Drosophila melanogaster: one gene and its partners. The protein of the gene in region 3 interacts with the protein of the main gene of each other region in a pairwise test. Each region holds a gene or a part of one and is shown on either strand. Other genes may lie near its edges. The genes, in order: Roe1, santa-maria, CheB42b and CG30355.

Region 1 (5,153 bases), 6.6 Mb from region 3:
TTTTGCCATTGTACTAATAAACTTAAGCAACATAGCACTTTTGTTAGCCTAAAATCGATGTCAGCCTAGTTAATTAATAATTAGTAAGCTTATAGTAATATATTAAAAACAAACAAACAAAACATACACTGAATGCTAGTCGCGTGCCAGGTCAATGGAATTATCGCTTAAAGCACCTATTCGTACGGCCACCACTGTGTTGTTGCATGTGAGATGGGAATCCGATAAGAGTTGTGTATAAGACCGCATGATTACAAATTCGGGCAGGTGATTGGGACCTTACCACCACCAGCTGCTGGTCATGTGGTTGCCGCCCAGTCCCGGAGCCGAGGTGGATGCAGTTGCTCCATCCACCGTTCCAGGGGCATGCAACAGATGACTTCCATCGGCAGCGGCGTCCTTTTCGGTGCAGAAATATTCCTCTTGGTCGGAGGAGTTTAGGTCCTCTGGTGCTGGCATTCCACTTGTATGCCTGCAGATGCTTGGAGAGATCAGGGACACATCTGTGCCCTATCTGGAGGAATGCCGTGCTATATATGCCGTTTAAATGCAGTACACCGCACTGATTGTTAACGAATTCTTTCGATGCAAAAAAAAAACTGGTCAAAGTTTTGGCTAGGGCTGTCAATAAGTCGATTAAATAATCGATAGCATCGATTTCTTGGCCCATCGCGAAAGTAAGCGCGAAATTTAAAAACCCAACGGATGTCTTCACCTTCGTCATTCAGAAGAGCATTCGTCATTCATAATTAATGTCGACAAAGGAGTGTACTTGGCATTGCAAATTAGTCAGGCACGTGAAAACACCATTTTTATTTTTAGCCTAATTTGTACGTGTTTTTGAGTGCTTTTAACCTCTCAAACAAACATTTTTGTTGTTTATTTTTAGAACCGCTTATAAACAATATACAACTATATGGCGGAGAAATGGCATTGTGTGAAAAACTTTAATTAGATCTAAGAATATCATTTAATATATTGTTTTTTAATGTGTTTTTATTGCACAGATAGCTATTAATAGCACTTGGAATCTTTCTTTAATAGGAAATCTACTATAGACACTGTTGAAACTAGCTTTAGCTGTAGTTTTTGTATAAAACCTAGTCTAAACTACATGTTTACTATGTTTACCTCTTTATTTCCCTTCCTGTGAAGCTTTCTTAGTCCACCCACCTGAATTGTTTACGCCTCTCACTCAAATCCAGGACTCTTCTCAATGGCTTGGGTGAGTTGCCCGGCGACGTGGCTGCCGCTCCATCATTTTCCTCCTCCAGAGAACTGGACACCGAGGTACTTGCCACCATTTGGAGGGCCAATTGGAGATCCTCCTCACGCATTTTTTGTTGTTTTTTTTTATTGGAAAAGTATGAAAAAAAAACCGAGTTTTGAGACGACAACCTCGTTGTTCCGGTGGCGAGATCCAACTAAGTGACTTCTCGTGCTTCGTTTTCCAAAATATATACAATGCATGCGCATATGTAATACTTGGCAGTGCGATCGGAGAGGTAAGTTGTTGAATAGATGCTATGCCCGCCTCGTACACTCGTACTTTGAATTCATTAAGAGCCTTCCGATATTTACATTTCCAGAGCAACTTTTTTCGAGCGGTCCATATTTTGGCGGCCCCGGGGCGTGGCCGATCTGGTATGAGATCGATTTATAAGCTATGCGTGGATTAATAGCCGGTGGCGCACTCTTAATAATATATGTCCGAAGGTAGCGCCAAGAATATAGGCCCATTTTTGCATTAACACCGATCGATTTTAAGTGGACCTGCGCCTGCCAATATTGTCGATACACATTTTCACATTTTTATATGCCATTTGCATATTCCGTTTGTCCATTTTATATAAGAAATATTTTGTCGCTTTAAATTTGTATTTATGACCAAGGTGAATTCTCAGGGGTGTCAGGAACTACTGATCAAGTAGGGATTTCTTTATTAATAATAATTGTTTGTTTATTGCATTTTTGGGTTTAAGTGTGTAAAGTGGTAAAATTTCATACATTTTTGATTTCATTTTGGTAATATTGATGCTATTTAAATATTTATTTATTACTTGCACCGATTTCCTTCTTAATTTATTTTTAAGTATTTTAGTTATATAAAGAGATTTTCTTTGGATTTAATGTAAATAATTTTTTACATGAATGAATCCGAGCTTACATCTATTCTACATCCGACTTGACTGTTGCATTCTACAGCTGCGCTGCGGTCACACTAAGCGGCAACACCGGGTGGAATCGATAAACAATTACTATCGAACACACATCGATTGTTGAGAGAGCTGTGAAGCCGACGATTTTACGTCAAAAGCGGAATAAGTTTATTTAACGTACGAAAAAGCTAAGCATAATGTCAGCAAAGGCAGCCTTACCACTGCAGATGTTTGGCCGGCGACTCGTCCACCTGAGGTCATCGGTCACTTCTCAAAATATGAGGTAATTCCGGTTGCATTGCTTCCTCTTATCTGTGACGTAATGAGGGCGCACGTTTGTCGTTTCGCATGTAATTCTAACATTGCCTCCCGTCTCACTCCCAATCGTCTACCACACAACCAGTGCCCTGCGTTTGTACAGCACAGAGAAACAGCCGGAAGAAGCGACAGAGCAGAAGGCCACCGAATCGTCGCCAGAAGTTGAGAAACTCACCAAGGAACTGGCCGCCGCCAAGGAGCAGAATGCCGAGCTAATGGACAAATACAAGCGTTCGCTAGCCGACAGCGAAAACATGAGGAACCGACTGAACAAACAGATCAGCGACGCCAAGATCTTTGGCATCCAGAGCTTCTGCAAGGATCTGCTCGAGGTGGCGGACACACTGGGACATGCCACACAGGCGGTGCCCAAGGATAAGGTACAAACTATCTTATCTTAAGATTTAAGGTTTAAGGTATCTTAAGGATTCAGACTCGCAATGAAGTTGCATATGTTGAGATAAGAATTTCGTAATTATTTGTTGCCAATACTTGAAAATCTTCATAGCATTTTAAGGTGTATTTTCCCGATCTTTCCATTTCTATCTGAGAGATAACAAACCCGATTGCATTACATACATCTAATTGTACATATAGATTTGTTGGGGTATTTTAAATTGAGATATTTGGATAACTTGTTAGCCATTTTAGACTTAATAGATAGTTTAATCGTTTTGCATTAACATTCTTAAAGCTACCCTTACTAATGATCTTAATTATTGCAGCTCAGCGGCAATGCTGATTTGAAGAACCTGTACGAGGGCCTCACCATGACGCGCGCCTCGCTGCTGCAGGTGTTCAAGCGACACGGACTGGAGCCACTGGATCCCATCAACCAGAAGTTCGACCCCAATCAGCACGAGGCGCTGTTCCAGAAGGAGGACAAGACCGTCGAGCCCAACACCGTGGTGGAGGTGACCAAGCTGGGCTACAAACTGCACGAGCGTTGCATACGTCCGGCCTTGGTGGGCGTGTCGAAGTGTTGATAGCCATGCGGCTGCCCAGAGGCATGTAAAATTCCCAGTACTCCCCCCCCCCCCCTAAACCAATTTACATGGCGTGTGTCTCTCAATTGTTTGCAATTTGTTTTCCGCTGCAAAATTCATGTACGTAAACCCTGTGTAAATACAACCTATCCCACAAACGCATCCTTCGGGCAAAGCTTGCGAATTTAGAATTCCTCCTAGTTTCTAAGAGATCTGTGACTGGATTTGATGGCCACAATTTGTACCATACGCGTGGCCATCGAGTGTTCCACTTTAAGGTTTAATTACGATAATAAAACATGTTTTAGTTTGTTGAAATATACCACGGAAATTTGTATTTCATCCTCATCTGGAGGAGACTCTGTTTATCTAGGTCTCTTTTTAGTTTCCTTTGATTTTCCCCGTTTTCCTTAGCCCTTGAAATTCGAATCCCTCATGAAAAACCATTTCTTTTGTTAACAAAAACCAGGTAGCGAAGCGTAATCGCATTCCTGCTCGTCGCGTAGGTGGAAAATTCAATGGAAATGCGTGATTTTCTATGACCCAGCAGGTAGGCTTCCAAGCACGTTCCCATGAATTCAGAGGTAGCACAGATGGTGGGTTCCCTAAAACGAGATTTGCGCCAGAGTTGAAAGTCTACTTCAAACGGTTTTGAACTATCTCGTTGGTTAGTTGTCCTTAAACATTTGAAGTGAACGGTATGATTGGTGTGCTAATGCGTTTTCTCTGGTCCTTGGCCATGGTGCAGTGCATCCAGGCTAGAGTGTCGATGCTGCCTCGTTTTTATGGACAAGACAGCGCTGTTATAGTGGACATCAATAGAAAATTCCCACCTAGAATGGACTCCAAGCTGCAGAATGCCCTGTACTACAACCTGCCGGTCTACAAACTGATAAAGCCAACCACAACAACTACGACAACCACGACGGCTGCTCCAACCTCTGGCTATCCTGCTGATCTCCTGAACATTGCTCACAACAAGCTGGGCCTCAAAGATCTGCCCAATCTCGAGGAGCTGGGCGAGATGATTGGTACGGATGGTGCCAGCGAGACCATAGACTATATACGCACGCTAACTGGAACGGAGGAGGGTTTGGCCCTGATGAAACAGTATCTGGATGCCCTGCACTTCGAGGAGGCGGAGGAGGAGAATGTGGCCGAGGAACAAGAGAAGGCTGAAGACGACGACGACGATGATGATGACAACACCATGGGCAATGCCAGCTACGATGAGATGCCGCAGGAAAAATCCACCACCACTGCAGATCCCCGTCCTGAGCTGAGTTTAATGCAGCGTTTCGGTGACTTTGTGAAGCAGTACAACCTGTGGTCTGGTCAGGTCACCACTACCACCACTCCTGCTCCGTTCATCGCTCGGCCAAGTGGCTCTTTCCAGCCCGTCTTTGTGGCTCCTCCTCCTGCTGGCTTGAAACCTTTTCGTCCCATCCTGGTTAGGCAGCCACTGCCGTATCACTATCCCATTCCCCTGCGTCCCGTATCGCTGGCCACCACAAAGCCAATCCAGGTGACCACCACCACCACGACCACAACCACACCTGCCCCCGTGACCAAGCCACATCTCAACACGCCCAAGCTGATCATGCAAGAGGATGCGGAGGGCAAATACTCAACATTGCCTCCGTACATCCAGCAGTTGGCCAAAATGGCCAATATTTCGCCGCAAGTCGTG
Region 2 (9,387 bases), on a different chromosome or scaffold from region 3:
GCTCGGAATCATAGCCATATCCTTTCTGTTCATTCTCTTTGATGACTTTTACATTTTGGAAGCCATTCTGAATCCCAAACGACTGGATGTCTTTGAGGCCGATGAGTTCTTTGCCTTCTTCCTGATGCAGCTCATCTGGTATATAGTGATCATAGTGCTGATCGTGGAGGGCAGCAGTCGGACTATTTTGCATAGCAGCTATACGGCAGCTATAGTTCACAAGATTCTCAATATCACCGATGATCCAGAACTCAGAGATCGACTTTTCCGTCTGTCCTTGCAGCTGTCGCATCGGAAGGTCCTTTTCACAGCCGCAGGACTTTTTCGTCTGGATCGCACACTGATTTTTACGGTGAACTAATGTTGAAAATAATTAAATATTTTATTTATTTAAGTGGTTAATTTTTGCAGATTACTGGTGCTGCCACGTGCTACCTCATTATCCTAATTCAGTTTCGATTCACACATCACATGGACGACACCAGCTCCAATTCAACAAATAATTTACATTCCATTCATCTCGGCGATTGATTAAAATTATATATACACATTAATCAATTAAATTTAAACATAAAGTGTCCTAACGTACAGATGAAAAATAAATTAAAGTTTTCCAGCTCGCAGTAAATTACATTTTTTATCCGTATTTTTTAAGTTATGATATAATATTTAAAGCAAGTAAACATTTCAATTGCACTTAATCAGTACGTTACGTATTCACGTAACGTAAGCCAATCGACAACAACAAGCTGGTTGCTACGTCACTGACTGTGTTGCTGGCTGACATGAGCTGCTTGAATTTCACTAATGAATTCAAATGGATAATGCTGGCCGAGACCCATTTCGAAGCTAAGGGCTGGCTTGACCCACTTCTGCTTGCTCCACTTCACAACATTGCAACATAATCTGCAGCGGTAACTGACTTTTGGCCACAACTGATAGCTAATCCCAGTTAGCACGCCATGTGAAAGGAGGCAAAAGACTAATCCAATAAGGAAGCCAGCCTGAATACGCACTGAAGCAATGACATTTTATTGTTTTATTGCCTCAGACTGCAATCCATGGGTGTTTTCTATGCCATTTGCTGGGGAGTTGTGCCCCTATGATAGCGAAATAAAACAAAAAAACAGTTGAAACTTTGCTCTGATCGCTTGTCGATTTTCGCAGCTTACAAGTGTGTGGGGTTAGTCGTGAATGTTCGCTGTTCACCCAGTGCTAATCATCACGATTAGCCGCATTGATAAGGCTTCGACAATTTGTTATCAATTCGGATTTCTACTTTACGATTTGTTTACTTTTCCACAAGCCACCCGATTCGTATGCGAAAATTCGCAGTTTTATGAAATCTAAGTGCATAGGAATTTCTTTCGCTGATTGTGATTTTTTGAAATGTGACCCAGTTATATTTGCTATTCGACTGAACAATAGAAAATATGTTGACTCTTTCAGTTCATTCATTTCATTTTTATATCATTTGATATTTATTAGATGTAAATATTTAAAAAATATATATATAAGAAACTAAAATATTTGTAAACGTATTTAACAAAGCAAATGGTTCAATTTAGATTATTTCCAAAAATTTATATAAAGATGGTGACACTGTTGTTTCTGACTACTTCTTCCCTTGGATGCATTCTACAGTTTTAAAGTCGTACTCGCGTTTCAGATTGTATATTGTTTAATTCAAAATTCAATGGCACAACTATGAAAAGCCCAAAGCGCAAATTAACCCAAACACCCACTCGCACACACACATACACACCGTTGCTCGGATACTCGGAGCTCTTCTCAAGCCCAATTCCATATACATTTCCATTTCCATGTGCCGCACTTGACTGACATTCATCGGCCGCCGAGACCGCTCCGCTCTGCTCGCGGTCCGTTCGCTGAGAGTCCGCCGCACAGTCGCATCGAAGCCGCCGGGCGAAGCGGTACCATTTTACGGCATTTCCCAGGGACTCGTGTCCACTTTTCCGGCCTCTGTGCAAAGAAATCATCCACGTGCTCAAGCGTTCTGTCCACATCCTTATCGAATTTCAATTTCCTCGCAAGGAAAATCAAAACGTAAAAAAAAAACCGAGGAGCCTGTGATTTGTTTCTATTTAGCAAATAAAAGTCAAGTGAGTGCCTTTAAAAGAAAATAAAGGAAATTTGGAAAGACAAAAGAAAACTCCTTTCGCAATATCACGTAATTTCTTAGCGCTTCCTGCTTTGTTAACACATTACGTTTTGGCTTGATTTGGCTTAATCGCCGGCAGACTTATTAAGATTACAGGTCATTAAATGAAATTAACTCGACAAGAATGAAAAATAGTCGCCAGACAGAAAACCAAATATATATGTATGTACAGTGGCAATCTATATTATACATTCTTTTTGTGTTTATACTGGCTTTGTGTGTCGTCTCCCTTTTGAAGAAATAAGAGTGCCGGAATGCAAAACAAAGGGCTTCCAGCTTGGACTACGAGGCGACCTGTTGATTGTGCGATTAATGGTCTAAAATTAGTCCCAGGGAAAACAGCTGCTCAGGAAAATATTAAGCATGCGCCCCGTTGACGAATTATGTTTTGTAGCTTGTATTTTTACATAAAACGAAATTGGGCGATGATAAATTATAATGAAAAAATAAAAAAATCTAGTATATGTTTTGGAATTTTCTGCAAAAGAACGGCAGCTGATCTTATTTGGTATATAAATAAAAAACAAAACAGTGGTGTACAAAACACATTGCGTATGCGACCTGTTAACCATTTAAAGTTCAAGATAATTAAATATCAACTTGCTCCCAACTAATTGCAGTTGCGTGTGCCTTTATAAGATAATAAATATCTGAAAAACAAATAATGTAAATACTCTAATAGAAAACCAACGAATGTCTTAAAAATTGCAAATTAAAATATTTATTTAAATTTTCTTTATTGTATGCAATAAAGAGCCAAAGAAACTTCACATTCATTTTCCAGCTATTCGCTAATTGAATAATCAATGCCCAGATTGGCGAATCCTCAATAAATACAGCTGTTCGTTGGCAAATTACTCATGGGACCCGTTTAAATATAGTTCAAGATAATCGAAACTAGCCCCTAATAGCATGTTCATTAAAGTTTCGTTTAAGAATTCAACTCATGCTGGACAATTAAAGTCAAATCAATTAATCAATTCACAATGAATTAATTAAAATCTCAAAGGGCTTAAACAACTTTAGTTAATACTGAAATCTTGGCTACGTAAAAGTGGCATTTAAAGAAATTTTTTGATTTAAAGTTCATTAAAAAGAAACAAAATAACTTTCTGCAGTTCAGGGACCTTTAAAAGTACCAAGCCTATTTACGGTTTAGCCTTTCGCTCTTTATTTATAGTTGTTGGCTTTTTTTTAAATCGTCGTGTGTATTTTCGTACTTGAAGGCTGCGAAAACTCAATTACATGCCGATAGCTCGTTATCAAAAAATACTCGCCCAAGCATATGTGAATTTGCGAACTGCGTCAAATCTGTAAGTTGCGGTTTATCTCAATGGCAGCCTTTGTGGTTAAATGGGGTTGAAAAACATCAGGAAAAACTGAGAAGGTGTTGACTTGTCTCACATCCAGTAGACGATCTTAAAGTATCGGGTTTACTGCGTCTGACTTAGTACTTAGAATTTCCGTTTCATATCAAGTGCACTTGCACTCAGGAAGTTAACGCCAAAAAGGCAGATAATTCTTGCTAGAATGTTTCAGAATGCATTCACTTTCGATGTGGCATCACTTCAGAGTTCAGTGTTCTCGGTGCATTTGCATAGAATATGAATAAAGCGTTCGGAGCATTCATAAAAATGTTAATATAGAAGATCAAGAACCAGAGAGTATGACAAGAGCATGCCTAATTTAATAATGAATCAAATATACCGGTCACTAAAATTTAAGCTTAATTAAACGCAATTATTCAGTGTTGCGGCTTCGAGCTTCAAGAGCGAATATCAAAGAACTGCACTGAAAAAAAAACGTATCTTGCTATAAATATTTTCTCACAAAAAGAGATATTCCTGCTAAAATCTCTTAGATTTCCATTCAAAATCTATCCTCGTTATGTGCGGTATTGCTCTTGATCTAATTGAATTAAGCGAAAAATGCGGGATGAACTCTACGTGATGCACCTGTCCAACGTCCATTTCAATTAAAACTCACTTCAGATTAATTGTGAAGACAATAAAAAGGCGCCGACAAATGCTCGACAGCTATTCATCATTCAAAAGACATAATCATATCAATTTACCAGACACCAACCAGAACACAACTGACACGCTCCCAAATAAGCATATATATATGTATATATGTGTATATATATATATAGATTCCTACTCGTATTCATGTGCAATAACGCAAAGTGTCAAAGACCCAACCATAGCTCACTGCGGGGTCAATTGATAGACTCAATTATGACGATATATCACAGAGATGCGAACCTGTGGCATATGTACGTACATATGCAATATTTATGCTCAAGTGATACATAGTGTTTGGTGATGGGAACTCTGGGCAGATTGGTCAAATAATTGCCAGAGGATGGATTCCCGATAAGCGATAAGTGCAGTGCAGTTCAATTTCCTCAATTGTCTGTGGCTTCCTCATGGGTCTGTTTACCTAAGAGTTCAGAATCCGCTTATCGGACCACAGTGAATGCCCCATATAGGAAAATTCGCCTACCGAATGCGATCATAAAATATTTTATCCACATTCATGCATGTTATTCGTAAACGAAATGGATAATTACACGTATTGCTTGCAATGCAGCTTCAAACTATCATAACTAATTAAAACACATCATCGTTGAGTGTCGGGGGAAGCTTTGTAATTATCACCACTGATAGGGGATTCGACTATAGTTCTGTATATATGTACACATATACTTACCGGACTTAGTATATTCTACATGAGTGTAAACAGCAATTGAAAGTCACGCTTTGCTTAAATTGATTCAATTATATTGATAAAAATAGACGCTATGGGAATTCGTCACTCAATAAAATGCTGCGCTTTTTGCATTTTATTTGTATTCAATTCTTTGTTGATTTCTTTGTTCGCCATACTTATATTAATATGTGACTTGATGCATCTGTTAATAAGAGATTTGATTCTACATTTTTTTTATTCTTTAACTAGCACTGCCTGAAAGTAGGCAACATGAACATGAGTTCACAAAATAATATTGTGTAAAGTTATATTTTAAATTATTGTATTATGATTTGTTCATAATGATTTTATAATAGAAAACTTATCAGTACATTCTCAACTTGCACTACATTTATGAGTTCTTTCATTTGATCCATTTTTATATGTTGGCAAATAGACTATCAATTTATCCATTTTCATTGATGTTTCAATGACTTGCATATCATTACAGCCACCATTAGGTATCCACACACCATCGCCCAGCGTGAGCCATGCCAACACAAAACAGCGCAATGTGGGGCCAAAAAAGTAATCGCAAATTAATTATCGGCATTTTCGGCTTTTGCCTGGGACTATTTGGCATATTGTGCGGCATGTTCTGGGTGGACCTGTTCGATTGGATCATGCACAAGGTAATCCCAGTCATTGACAGAGGTTCAGTTAAGTTCATTTCACTTCACTCCAGTGTTAGCCCGGCCAGCTGCATTCGATTAGTGGCTAAAGCCAATTGAAAGTCAAAAGAAAAACAGCCGCCTCTCAATTGGCGCGAGTCAAAGATCGAGGAAAACTCGTTGAGATTTTCAATTAATACCAATTGCGGCTTCTGTTCTTCGACAGGAAATGGCTCTGGCCCCCGACACACGTGTCTATGAAAATTGGAAGAGTCCGCCAATTGATCTCAGTCTGGACATCTACCTGTACAACTGGACGAATCCGGAGGATTTCGGCAACCTTTCCACAAAGCCCATTCTGGAGCAGGTGGGTCCTTATCGTTTTATCGAGCGACCCGATAAGGTGGACATTCACTGGCATCCAGAAAATGCATCCGTCACTTATCGCAGGCGCAGCTTGTTCTACTTTGATGCGGCGGGCAGTAATGGCAGCCTGGACGATGAGATTACCACGCTTAATGCAGTGGCTCTGGTAAGTATCCTATTCCCTTTTATTACATAATATAACTATAACTATACATTTCCATTTCAGTCTGCAGCCGCCACAGCCAAATATTGGCCACCAGTTAAGCGCTCCCTTGTCGATGTGGGACTAAAGATGTACGGTGCCGAGATGTCTGTCCAAAAATCGATCGATGAGCTGCTCTTCACCGGTTACAATGACGCAATGATCGACGTGGCCATGGCCATGCCCATTTTTGGTGATGAGGTGAAGGTTCCATTCGATAAGTTCGGTTGGTTCTATACGCGCAATGGAAGTGCCGATCTTACCGGAGTTTTTAATGTCTTCACTGGCGCCGATCAACTGGCCAAACTGGGTCAGATGCACTCGTGGAATTACCAGGAGAACACTGGATTCTTTGATTCCTATTGCGGTATGACCAATGGATCCGCCGGGGAGTTCCAGCCACAGCATCTGAAGCCCGGCGATAGTGTTGGTCTATTTACGCCCGATATGTGCCGAACTATTCCGCTGGATTATGTGGAAACTGTGGATATTGAAGGACTGGAAGGTTATAAATTCTCAGGCGGACCACGATCTGTAGATAATGGTGAGTCTTGATAAGAATTGATTAATTGTGAGTACCCATTCTATTAGAGATTTATATTTCAGGCACCCAGTATCCTGAGAACCTTTGTTTTTGTGGTGGCCAATGTGTTCCGTCGGGTGTGATGAACATCAGTTCCTGTCGCTTTGGATCTCCTGTTTTTATGTCCTATCCACACTTTTTCAACGCCGATCCTTACTACCCAGATCAGGTAGAGGGCTTGAGTCCTAACCAGAAGGATCACGAGTTTTATATGGTTGTGCAGCCAAGTACTGGTATTCCCCTGGAGGTGGCTGCCCGATTTCAAGTGAATATGCTCGTGGAGCCAATCCAAGGCATTAGCTTATACACTGGAATACCAAGGATATTTTTCCCACTCGTATGGTTCGAACAGAAAGTAAGAATCACTCCAGATATGGCAGATCAACTGAAGGTGCTGCCCATTGTCATGCTCTCCGGACATATATTCGCCGGAATTTGCTTGATCGTAGGCATAACTCTACTCTGCTGGACTCCGGTTCAGATTCTATTGGCTTCCTGTCGAAATCGTAGATACGATCTGAGGACCAAAACCAAAACGAATGGCCAGTATAAGAGTCGCTCTCAATTCTCCAGTGCTGAGGAACTGAAGTCCAAGGCCTCCACTTTGGTGTGCGAAAAGAGTGTCAAAGGATCTCCGGACAGTTCTCCGCTCCTCGAAAAAGGCCGTAAGCCAACCATTATTAAATCCCAGACGGGTGAAAGTGTGGCCACTGCATCCACAGCCATCAGCGACAATAAGCAGGATTGAACAGAACCGCCACATTCACGCCATTTAGATAGTTAAGCCGTCCTAGTGCTTTAGTCGTAGCTCATAGTTTAGTGACACTCTAAAACACCCAACTGAAAATTGCAAGCATTCCCGTGCCTATGCCAAAGATTAGATAGCCTTCGAAGTCGAAACGTCTGGTGGACTTCGCTTAGCTAACGAATACTCTTTTTACATTCCTTAGTTATTAGATATGTTTTGTATTAAAATGATTTCTTGACCCATGGCTTTCGTGTCAAATAAAATCTTCAACTACAAAGGAAATTATCATTTTAGTAGGTTAAGTGGGTAAGATTGCACATAACTATTTTTATTTCATTACAGCTCACAACGTTTGTTTTGAATTTTAACAACATTTTTTTCATCTTTATTAGTTCAATAACAATTATACAAAATATATAGTATATATGGTATCCACTTTAATGCCTAGCTCATGAGCTTGTATCGTGATCATTTTAATTATTGTGAATAATTTTCTTAACCTTACATTTAAAGGGCAAAGAGACTATTACTTAACGTACGACAATATTTGCAATATCACAAATGACCCAACTTAAGTGACTAAAATACGAATCGAAAGGGGGAAGGGAGGATTGTGCGGATTTGGGGGGTTAGTTTTGGACTATTCCTTGTACTATTACTTCTTCATCTTATACCCCTCAGTATACCCATAGCTGTCAGCCACTAAAAAAAAAAAAAGTTAAGTTTATTAGTATATAAAGCCTGATATTGCTGTTTATGAATATCTTACGTTCATAATCCTTGGAATAGCACTCAAAGAATTCGCCCAAAACTTTGCCGTGTGGCAGTTCCCATGTGGCAGAACCACCGTATTTCGGAGGCAAAGCCTTCGCCTCAATATGGGAGATCAGGGACTTGTAGTCCTTGCCATGGAAGAAGATCTACCAAATAGGAATTTATTACATATAACTTAACATTATTTCATGTATTTCTTATTCAAACTTACCCTCTTGCGCAGCTTTTCGCGAATGAATGGCTTGAATACGGCAAAGAGCATATTGAATATATATGAATTATTCACTATGTGAACTGCTTTCAAACGCATGCAGATGCATTCTTGAATGTAATCCAGCAACATGGCGGCAAATGACGGTGTAAATTGTGTAATGTGGCTAAGTGGCAGCCCTGCAAAATGGTTAATATGTATTAAGTAACTTGTATAATTTGTATTTCCTGCCTAGAATTTATTACCTTCCATATCGATAATGACAACTGAGCCGCAAATTTGTGAGTAGGGCTCCACCATAGAACCCAGTACGGTCAATTGAATGCCGCGGAATAGATCCACCAAGGGCACTTGCGATGGCTTCCATTTTTCTGGAGTAATTCAATTATTTATAGACATTTTTTTAGTTGTTTTTAAGAGCCAAACTTACTGCCAGCTTCCAGCACCAAAAGCCGACGGCCGTGTTGATCTCTTTGGGGCAGCAAATTCAGAATATTTGCCTCGAAAACGTTTCTCAACTTGCTGGGGATTATGTTCTCGCAAGCGGCTCCATACTTCAATTTCATGTGATAAAAGTTCTTGAGCTGTACATAATGTAAGAGAAAATAAATAAAAAATATATATATTTAAAGCTTGCATGTTTCAACAAATTACTCACCCTTTTCAAGGCACTTTCTGGATAGTAATGGGTGGGACGCAGGAACATCATCATATACTCATCATCCAATGGCAGGTTCAGGTACTTTTCATCTATTAATTTGGAATTTTTTTTTTAAATTTTATTAACCAACGTGCATGTGCTTTCACCCACTTTGAATGAGTTCCCTGAGTTCCTTGATGGCCTGCTCCTTGACGCCGGGCACTTCCCGCAACTCATCCTGTGCCTTCTTCAGTGCCCATTCCGGCGCTTGTTCCTTCTCCATGCGGATCTGTGCCGAGCCCAGATCGATGTAGGGCAA
Region 3 (4,497 bases):
CTGCATGTATGATGTCAGCTTCAACAGCAATCCAAGGCTAGTTAATTAAAATGAATATGAAATTGCACTTGTGATTCACAAGCTGTGATTAAATTGCGGAAAGTGTCCATTTGACTTGTTGTAGGTGTGTAGTTGTCGCACCCAATTATGCAAAATAGTTACGGAATTTATGAAATCGTTTAATTTTCGATGAAAAAAGTAAAAATTTAATTTAATCAAGGAGCCTACAAAGATTTTAGCATTGAATTCAAGAAGAACAAAAGGTTATACTTTTACAAGTATAACAATCTAAATGCCTATTTGGCATACAAGTTGTTATGCTAATGGCTAAAACCTTTAGTATTTAGCTTATATATCTTAATAAATATAAGATTAACAGGAATGATTGTTTTGATCGTTTAATAAGGACTATTTTCATTGGCACTGATTTCCTCGAAACTTGTTATGGTTGAAGTGAGCTTCTTGCTTTAAATGTCGATTTAAAATAATGTCTGGCAAACAAAATGGTTGTAACTTTGTTGCATGTCGAGTGGATACATGATGACATGATAGCAATGATAGAAGAGATCATGATGGCAAGTACTATAAAAGGGTCTCATCCCACCAGGTGATACTATTGTCATCATGAGAACTCTCATGCTGTTCGTATTTGGCTTTGCTAGTTCCTGGGCCGCAGACTACGAGCTGTTGCTGGAGGACCCTGATATCTTTTCACCCTGCACTGAACCGCCGCCGGGATCGATTGGATTCCACGATGCCTTCGATATTGGCGATCTGGTAGTCGACCAGGACATGGACATCATTCACCTGTCCGAGAGTGTCACCTCAATCTGGGATGTGGAGCCCACAGATCGCATATCCGTAATGCCCGCATTCCTTATACGAAATAAGATTATTAATAAACAATTGCTTTTAAGGCCAGGTTTGCAATAATGCATTACAACCGCGGCAGCTGGGAACCGACTGTATTTAGCATGGCCACGCCGGACTTCTGCGCCTCAATGTTTGATGAGAATCAGTCGTGGTTTAAGTACTGGACCAAACACATTTCGAACCGCGATGAGGTGATGGAGAAGTGTTTTAAAACGCGTGGTGTGAGTTTTCCCTGCAAACAAAACAGTCCATCTCTGGCGCGGTGACTTTAACCTTGGGATTCCATTACAGACCGTTATAATGCACAATCCATTCGATCTGCAGCTGCGTCTAACGGACATTCGTGGTGCAACTCTCAGGGGTCGTTACAAAGCTGTGGTCACCTTTGAGGCGGTCGATGAGAAGGATGTGCCACGCCGTAATTCCATTTGCTTCGAAATCAGGGGAGAGGCCGAGAAGATAAATTAATTAAGGGCTTAATCTGTTCAAGGCGCGATATCAGTAACCTAAAAAACAATATAAACCCAATATCTACATATTTTGAAAATAAAAAGCAATCTTAAAAATATAAATATAAATAAAATATATCAACTATTCTGAACTTGATATATGTACTTGATTTGGTACAAAGTGTGTAACAGGTGACGCGAACCTTTTTTTTCGTTTGATCAACCTTATGCCCGTATGTGATCTCGGGAGCTATAAAAGCTATATTGATAAGATAAGGGATGCAGATTATAGAGAAGTACTTTCAGAAGATTGCCACGCCTACTCTACCACACCCTCTAACGACCAAAAACCGCCCAAAACTGTCACGCCCACACGGATATGTGATCGCCAAGAAAATCTTTGGGGAATTTGTTTTTTGTTTCAAACTTGTTTTTTTTTCTAGCCCAAAAGTTATTATTATTAAAACATCTTGTTTTACAATGTTTAAGCACGAATATTTTCAAGGGTCACATAACGTGATTTGCCAATTATATTGTTAGAGTTTGACAACGTCTGATTAACAGGAGATGGTTGTTACATTGTTGCGTGTTGAATCAATGTACGATGGCATACCATGATTAGATGTCATCATTTTAAAAGGTGTATAAATAAAACATATCAAAAACTCTATTGTGGCAGTGGCTATAAAGGGGTCGGATCTCACAGTTTTCGGTTCTATGGTCATCATGATATTTGTGCTGCTACTCTTATTAGGAGTGACCAGTTCCTGGGCCACAGACTATGAATTATTGCTCGAGGATCCGGACATATTTTCGACGTGCACTGATGGTCCTCCCGGATCCATCAACATCCGCCAGGCACTCAACTTAGACGACATTGTAATCGACCAGAAAGGGGATATACTTCATGTATCCGGGAACGCCACCGTCGTGTGGGATGTGCAGCCCACCGATCGGATTACTGTAACACAAACTGCAAGCTTCGGAATAATCATCGATTCTAATATCAAAACTCTTGCATCCGTGTAGGCGAGACTTGATGTTTTTCACTTCAACCGCGGCACTTGGGAGCCCACTGTCTTTAGCATGGCCACCCAGAACTTTTGCTCCATCATGTACGACAAGAACCAGTATTGGTATAAGTATTGGACAAGGTTTATAACCAATCGCCATGAGGTGGAAAAGAAGTGCTTCAGAGGGCCTGATGTAAGTGGAGTTCAAGCAATTTGACAACCAAATACGGTGGAATATAATAGCATATGGGAATAGTTCTCATATGGGATGCAGATTATTCATATGGTTGTGTGCAAAGGACACTACCATTTTTTATTGCACAATATTTTGAAAATATTCTGATTTCTTACAGACCGTTCTGGTACACGAGCCCTTCGATCTCATACTAAAATTTGAGAATTTTCGTGGACCTCTTCTTAGAGGACGTCATAAACTTGTCATATTGTTTAACGCACTAGATGAGAGGAATATACCGCGCCCAAACCCAATTTGTTTGGAGATCATAGGAGAACCACTAAAGTTGCAGTAGTTGGAACAATAGACTATTTTGTTGAATGTGTATTTTTTTTTTCAATATTGTATAATATTAAACATAGTGTTCTTAATTCCTACATTCAATAACAATTTAAACATTGCATCGTGTTTTAACAGATCTCATAACTTTAGGGGCTTGTTTTACCTTCCATATCCCCAATCAGTTAACTTCTTGATTCGTTTTGTTTTGTGGTTGGTGGCACGCGTTGACGGCAACTTGAGTTCAAGTTGCGGTTTCCATATCGGCTAGCTGCGTGTGGCAAGTACCTTCTCGGGTAACGACGTGCAGACAAAGGAGAACCGTATACTGACTGCATTTTTTTGGGGTCATGACTGCCGTTGCTGGATGGGGAATATGCAAATACAATTGTCGGTTATTGGATTACCCGATGATGATTGGCATAAGTTCCGATCGATTCAAATCGCAGCAATCGATTTGTCAATTTGCAAAGCTCTTGCCAATTCACGGAAAATGTTTCTTACAGATTTGCGAAAACTTTTAAACGGCAGGGAGGTAAGCCTCGGAACACTTTCATTTCATATTCCCGGCGAATAATTTTCTACTTTCTAAACCGAAGAGCCAGAAACAAAGACCGTCTTTAGGTGCAAATTAGCAGCGCACGATTGTGCAGGCCGCTCCGGGCAATCCGGTAAAGTCAACATCTGGCCAAAGCCGAAATTATGGCCGCGGGCACTCACTATACTATATAGTATATGGTACGTCGGACCTCATAGAAAATCAATCAGTGCGGACTTCTGCTTCGCAGGCAGGCTCTTGGATTTAGCATAAGAAACGGCTCTTTCTGGAGGCAGTGGCTTTGTTCGCCAACCCAAAAAGCTGGCAATGTAGGACGTGGCGACGGCATGGCTCTGAACCCGTTTTTTTTGGCCATCTCCGCCTCTATCCACCTAGCCGCTGCTGGGAATCTTTGGGGCCTTATCGAGGAGCAGCACCGAAATAGCAACAAAATTGCAGCATGAATGGGGCTGTGAACCAGCTGGAGAGCCGGTCCGTGTGGGCAGCCTTTGTAGGCTATTGGAAAGATCAAGAGTTTATAATGCCAGCCACACGTTTGTTGTTAGCTGTGTGTTGTGTGCATGGGTGTGGGTCTCCTCGTGGTGGTTGTGTGAACTTTTCCAGTTTGCTCTGACTGGCATAAATTGTGGGTTTTTAGGTGTCTAGCTCACTTCCCGGCCGAGTTGGCTTGCCAAGATAAATGGATACACATGGAGCGGTTGTGGTGTACTATATGTGCATGGATGCACCACGTCCATTGCACTCGCTGTCTTCCCCTGCGCTTAGACTCGATTTCGATGTCTGACGGAAACTGGAAAGTGTTTTGAATACAACCACGAACTGGCGGGAACGAGATCTTTCAGCTCGATGACTGGTTACTAAACAGTAAACAGTAAATACTCTAGAAATATGAGGACAATGAATAAAAAGTAAATGCATTCAAACCACCGCTAAGACAAACATTTAACAATTTCAGTAGCTAACTAAATGGATCTTGAAATTAAGTTGAAAAGGGGTTTTGTTAGCTGCGGCACTTTTACTATGCGTCTGGCTGCTAGGCAATCCAGCTCCACTCGCCCATTCATAAGGCGATGCCCGAACACTGGGATC
Region 4 (4,755 bases), 1.7 Mb from region 3:
TTCTAGTGATTTCAGTGTTTTTATTATATTTTGGTACTAAGTCTTTCATTTGTTGCATATTAATTTTGACTTTTCTCTTTACGTGTTTTACATAATATATTTCATAAAATTCATTTGATGTCCTTTTTTTAACTAAATTGAGCTAAAATATATATTACAATTGCCTTTGTAACCTTTATGCCTTTGTGTAATTAAAAGTAATTTTTGGATGGTTCCATTTGTGTTTAGATGTATTTTACTCTGCGCCAAAAAGAAGCATTTGCAAGGGAAATTCTTAGGTTCTTTACTTTCAATTGTGGCTTTTAATTCATAATCAAGTCGCTTTCATTGCTGCTGTCTACATTTCATTACTTCAAGAATTCCATACATTTAACTTAGCATAGAGAAGTACACTAAATATTAGATTTATTTTACACATATATGCTTTTATATGAATGTGTATATCGTATGTACATAATTAATAGGCAACCACTTAAGCTTAATATAAAAATAAGTATTTTTCTGCAATATAAATTTGCCACACAATGTACTATAAACCGAAAACTGTACAGTATACAATATTCCTTCTCATCATCGGCATTCAGTTATCATTACCATTATCATTGTCAATCGGTTGAACAGCATTCCTAGCACATACACAGCGCATTTCCAAACCAAACTCAGCTTCAGCTACATATCTGCCAAGCAAGTCTTTGCGAACTTTATTAAAATGAGAAACGAGTAATTTTCGATTTCTAGCAAATAAGATAAAACGAAACGAAAAAGGCAAATGAGAACATTCTGTCTGTCTTTACATGCGCAATGTGGCTAATCGGTTCCTGCATGTACTGCTCGGCATTTAGATCTTTTAGGACTTAAGCTAGTTTGGTTTTGGATTTCGTATGCATGCTTATGCTGTGTGGGGTGCTACTAAAAACAATTAGTACACACTAGCTTCATTGCTGCTGCTTTAATGTTTGCGTGTTGTTGTCGTTGCTGCATCTGGTACCTCTGGCTTAGTACATTGACTTTCATGAGGCGTACATGCGGTTAATATCATGCTGATATCTGTCCTGGATATCCTTGCGCTTCAGCTTGAAGGCGGCGGTTACCAGCCCCATGTCCGGAGACCAGACCTCCTTACAAAGTGTGATGGCGGCGGGAACCTCATATTTTTGCAATTTACCTTTAAGATTAAACAATTTGCCATTAAAAACTTTGAAAAATACTCAAATCTGCATCGTAGCTTACATTTCCGCGCATGCTCAGCAATTTCCTTGAGAATAGCCTTCTCTATGATCGGTGATGAGCACAGCTCCTCAAAGGACTTATCACCCAGGCCATGTTTCTGTGCCAGCTCCTCCAAATGGTTTTGGTTGGGAACGACCAGCGCCACTGTGTACTGCTTTGTCGGATCTCCGTATACGCAAATGTTCTCGATGATTCCGCAAGTCTTAAGCTCAGATTCAACTTTGCCAAGGGAAACATACTCGCCGGCCTGCAGCTTAACCAGATCCTTCTTACGATCTGCAAAAAGCGTATTATAATAAAAAAAATGAAAGAAAAAGCACTGTGCTAAATAACTTACCAATAATCTTAAGTACGCCATCAGCTTGTATTTCGCCAATGTCGCCGGTTTTAAACCATCTCTGTCCATCCTCCTCAAAGAAATCCTCGTTGGTCTTGCCGGGCAACTTGTAGTATCCCTGGGAGACACACTCGCCACCAATGAGAACCTCACCCTGGGGATAAGGTTTATTTGTGACGCGGTAGTTGCCTTCTTCCCAGTTGACTAGACGGATGTCGCAGACAGTTAATGGTCCTCCAGTGCGTCCATAGGTCATATCACGGTCTTGTATTGGGTATAAAGTTATTTACTTGTTTTCAAAAGAAAGGTCGATCTGCGATCACTTACAGTCCATGACAGTGGCTCCAGACGTAGTTTCCGTAAGGCCATAGCCCTGAATCAGCTCCAAGCACAAGCAGGTCTTGATCTGCTCATGTGTATCTGCTGACAGAGGCGCTCCGCCAGACATGATAATGCGCACTTTGCCACCCATTAGCTTTGCCACCTTCTTGAACACCAGTCTGCAAGAAAAATAATAGTTTTAGTTAGCAACTCATGATATTTATGAGCACACCGTTCTTACTTATCAATCAGCGGCGTCTTGTACCCCCTCTGCACCCACTTGACTTTGTACTGGTAAAGGAATTTGAAGAGTGATTTCTTGAACGCCGAGCCAGAGTTAACCTTGTCGTTAATACCCTTGGAAATGCGATCCAATATCAGCGGCACCGAAGTCATGCAGGTGGGCTTCAGGACGGTGGCATCGCCCTTGCACCCGCGTTTGATCTTGCTGCTAGTGTCGATCAGAGTCAAGGGGGTCGAGTAGCCAATTGGAACGCCAGTCATGAGACACACACTTTCCGCAACCAATTCAAAAACGTGAGCCAGGGGCAGGAATCCGATCAGTACATCATCCGGATAGATAGGCACCATATCAACAAATCCCTTCATTGTCGCAATGCAGTTCTTGTGCGAGAGGAGGACACCCTTAGGTGTGCCAGTGGATCCGGAAGTGTACATGATAATGGCAATGTCATCTCCCTTGGGTGGAACGTGCTCTGTGGGATACAAAATAAAGTCAATTAGTACTAGTTTAATATTTAACAAATTCCTTGCGCATAGCACGCTATACATATGCTGTCAACATTTCAGTGCTGAATTAAAAGCGCATACTTTCGGTAAACAGAAAGAACTCTTTCCAAATTGTGTAGGGTGATTTTTTAGTTCAGACACCATTCGAAATGGCTGAAGTCCTAGAGGAATTCATCACCCTAACGCCCTTGACTTGTGTGCAACAATGCAATGCTTTACTAGGCTCAACATCAGGAAAGCCGAGAAGCTGCTCCGTATTTTTTACACTATTTGGCGTATACTGCGGCGTTCTCATCTTTCGGGCGTATCGCACATATTCCTCTAAGCAAGAAAGAGACGAGGAAAAGATAACCGAAGGAGTTACCCTTGAGGCTAAGGAGGAAGATTTGATCATAGGACCTGGTTCCAGTCTTGTGAACGAATATGTAGAACAAACGAAGCCGATTCTGTTGCAACCCGTCGGTTTTTCCAGTACTGACATGAGGTGAGAGTTGTAGATTAAAACACTGGATGACCCATCAACACATTCTGTCTCGATTAGATGGCGCTATTGCAACCACTTGCCGGAAGCAGAATTAGCACAAGGCTCTGATAGTGAAAACAGATCAACCGAAAGAGATGACATTGATAACCTCGAAAGGATGAGCAATGTTGTGGATGATAATGATGCGCAGAAGCCGGTTGCATCCACATCGATGGCAACGGCTCGGGCGCCTGAGGATAACGCCGATGGTGAACACGTCGAGCCCACACCATTTTCGGTGTGAAACACGATGCATTTTAGCAAATTTATCGTGTAATTGACATAAATAAATCATCTTTTAAGACCCTTTCAAAACGTACCAAATTTACTGTCCTGTCCTGTCTTGACAACTTGGTTAAACGGCAAGATCTTGACGCCCTCCTTGAAGCCAGTGGTTTCTGTCTTTTGCAGCTGATCCTCAATATAGATAATAGTCTTCACCAATGGGCATTTGTCGAGCAGCGTCTTAAACTTGGGCAGCAGATCATGGGAGGTGATAACCGTGGTGACTTCCGTTTCGGTGATGCCTGGCAACAGAGCAAAATATTATTTAAAAACCATACACATGGTAAGCCAATTTACTCACAATGAGCAACTCCATCATCGCCCAGCGTAGCATAGACAGTGACAATGGGCATAGCCTGCTTAAAGCATCCGTGGGCAGCTATCATCCATTCGGCTCGCGTTTCGGCAAAGATGACAATGTTCTCGCGTGGTTTCTGGCCAAGTTCTCGCAGACCGCGCCCGAAATTAGCCGCCGTGCGCTCCGCCTCGGTGAACGTCTTCCACTTGTAGTCACCGAGGTTGTACTTCTTGAAGACTCGACCGTTCTGCTGCACCTCATCCTCCTCGCTGAGGATCTGCCGGGTGCCCAGACAACGCTTCGACGTGTAAGTTTTGGCCACATAGTTGAATACCTTCTCCAGGGTATCGATATTCTCTTGCAGCATCTTCACGTGGACATCCCGTGGTGGATCCGTGGTCCGGTAGGTCAGCTCATTGTCATCATTCCGCACGATCTTTGCCTGGAAAATGAGCGAATTCGTGGCGATTAGTTTAACGTCGTGTTAGAGGTTGCGATTTAAAAAGAAACGCTAGATTAGGGGAGGGACCACAAAGTAGAATCGACAGAGAGATAACGGACATGTGAGTTTTCGAGGGTTTGTTGAGGTGAGGGCCGTAACTCGGGAGATCATGTTTCTTGGACCAACACCAAAAAGAGTCTCCAAAAAGGGGATTCAACTCTGGGTACGATCACCAACCAGTACCTGGAACATTCATTGTGCGTGTGTGGTGTTTGTGTGTTGTATGGGGGTGCCCCAATGTATGTGTGTGTGTGTGTGTGTGTGTGTTCGTGTAATGTGTGTATGTTCCATAACAGATAGTATTACTAAATAATAAAAAAACACATTTGCAAAAGTTAAACCTCAATGTCATCCGGCGCGTACTTGGACTCATCGACCAACATTTTCTGGTTAATGGGCTTGGCCTGTAGAGGAAGGAGGAGTTGAGATATGCGATGAGAAGCTAGTTAGCTGTGGTATTGCATAGAGTTACTGATTCCCGATTAAGGCATTCAACTCGTTTTACTTAT

The links.
Region 1: the proteins of CheB42b (region 3) and Roe1 interact in a two-hybrid assay, tested with the Drosophila melanogaster proteins (one large-scale study listed by BioGRID).
Region 2: the proteins of CheB42b (region 3) and santa-maria interact in a two-hybrid assay, tested with the Drosophila melanogaster proteins (one large-scale study listed by BioGRID).
Region 4: the proteins of CheB42b (region 3) and CG30355 interact in a two-hybrid assay, tested with the Drosophila melanogaster proteins (one large-scale study listed by BioGRID).

The regions. Positions count from the first base shown.
Region 1 is NT_033778.4:13,551,825-13,556,977, forward strand, and holds Roe1 (Roe1), read left to right. Parts: upstream 1-2,252; 5' UTR 2,253-2,356; coding exon 2,357-2,442; intron 2,443-2,562; coding exon 2,563-2,857; intron 2,858-3,202; coding exon 3,203-3,463; 3' UTR 3,464-3,782; downstream 3,783-5,153. Other genes in the region: link, read left to right, coding at 4,164-5,153. UniProt on the Drosophila melanogaster protein: Essential component of the PAM complex, a complex required for the translocation of transit peptide-containing proteins from the inner membrane into the mitochondrial matrix in an ATP-dependent manner.
Region 2 is NT_033779.5:7,443,685-7,453,071, reverse strand, and holds santa-maria (scavenger receptor acting in neural tissue and majority of rhodopsin is absent), read left to right. Parts: upstream 1-1,827; 5' UTR 1,828-2,123; exon of another isoform or gene 2,124-5,384; 5' UTR 5,385-5,424; coding exon 5,425-5,565; intron 5,566-5,770; coding exon 5,771-6,076; intron 6,077-6,136; coding exon 6,137-6,656; intron 6,657-6,718; coding exon 6,719-7,443; 3' UTR 7,444-7,717; downstream 7,718-9,387. Other genes in the region: Gr28a (gustatory receptor 28a), read left to right, coding at 1-352, 412-531; CG5973 (uncharacterized protein), read right to left, coding at 8,099-8,145, 8,213-8,363, 8,429-8,607, 8,674-8,799, 8,859-9,012, 9,087-9,178, 9,240-9,387.
Region 3 is NT_033778.4:6,941,538-6,946,034, reverse strand, and holds CheB42b (chemosensory protein B 42b), read left to right. Parts: upstream 1-2,039; 5' UTR 2,040-2,048; coding exon 2,049-2,285; intron 2,286-2,351; coding exon 2,352-2,528; intron 2,529-2,688; coding exon 2,689-2,865; 3' UTR 2,866-2,939; downstream 2,940-4,497. Other genes in the region: CheB42c (chemosensory protein B 42c), read left to right, coding at 625-861, 918-1,094, 1,165-1,341.
Region 4 is NT_033778.4:8,677,861-8,682,615, reverse strand, and holds CG30355 (uncharacterized protein), read left to right. Parts: upstream 1-2,662; 5' UTR 2,663-2,787; coding exon 2,788-3,122; intron 3,123-3,179; coding exon 3,180-3,405; 3' UTR 3,406-3,470; downstream 3,471-4,755. Other genes in the region: Acsl (Acyl-CoA synthetase long-chain), read right to left, coding at 1,011-1,165, 1,231-1,506, 1,568-1,831, 1,895-2,067, 2,130-2,604, 3,482-3,688, 3,748-4,186, 4,588-4,650.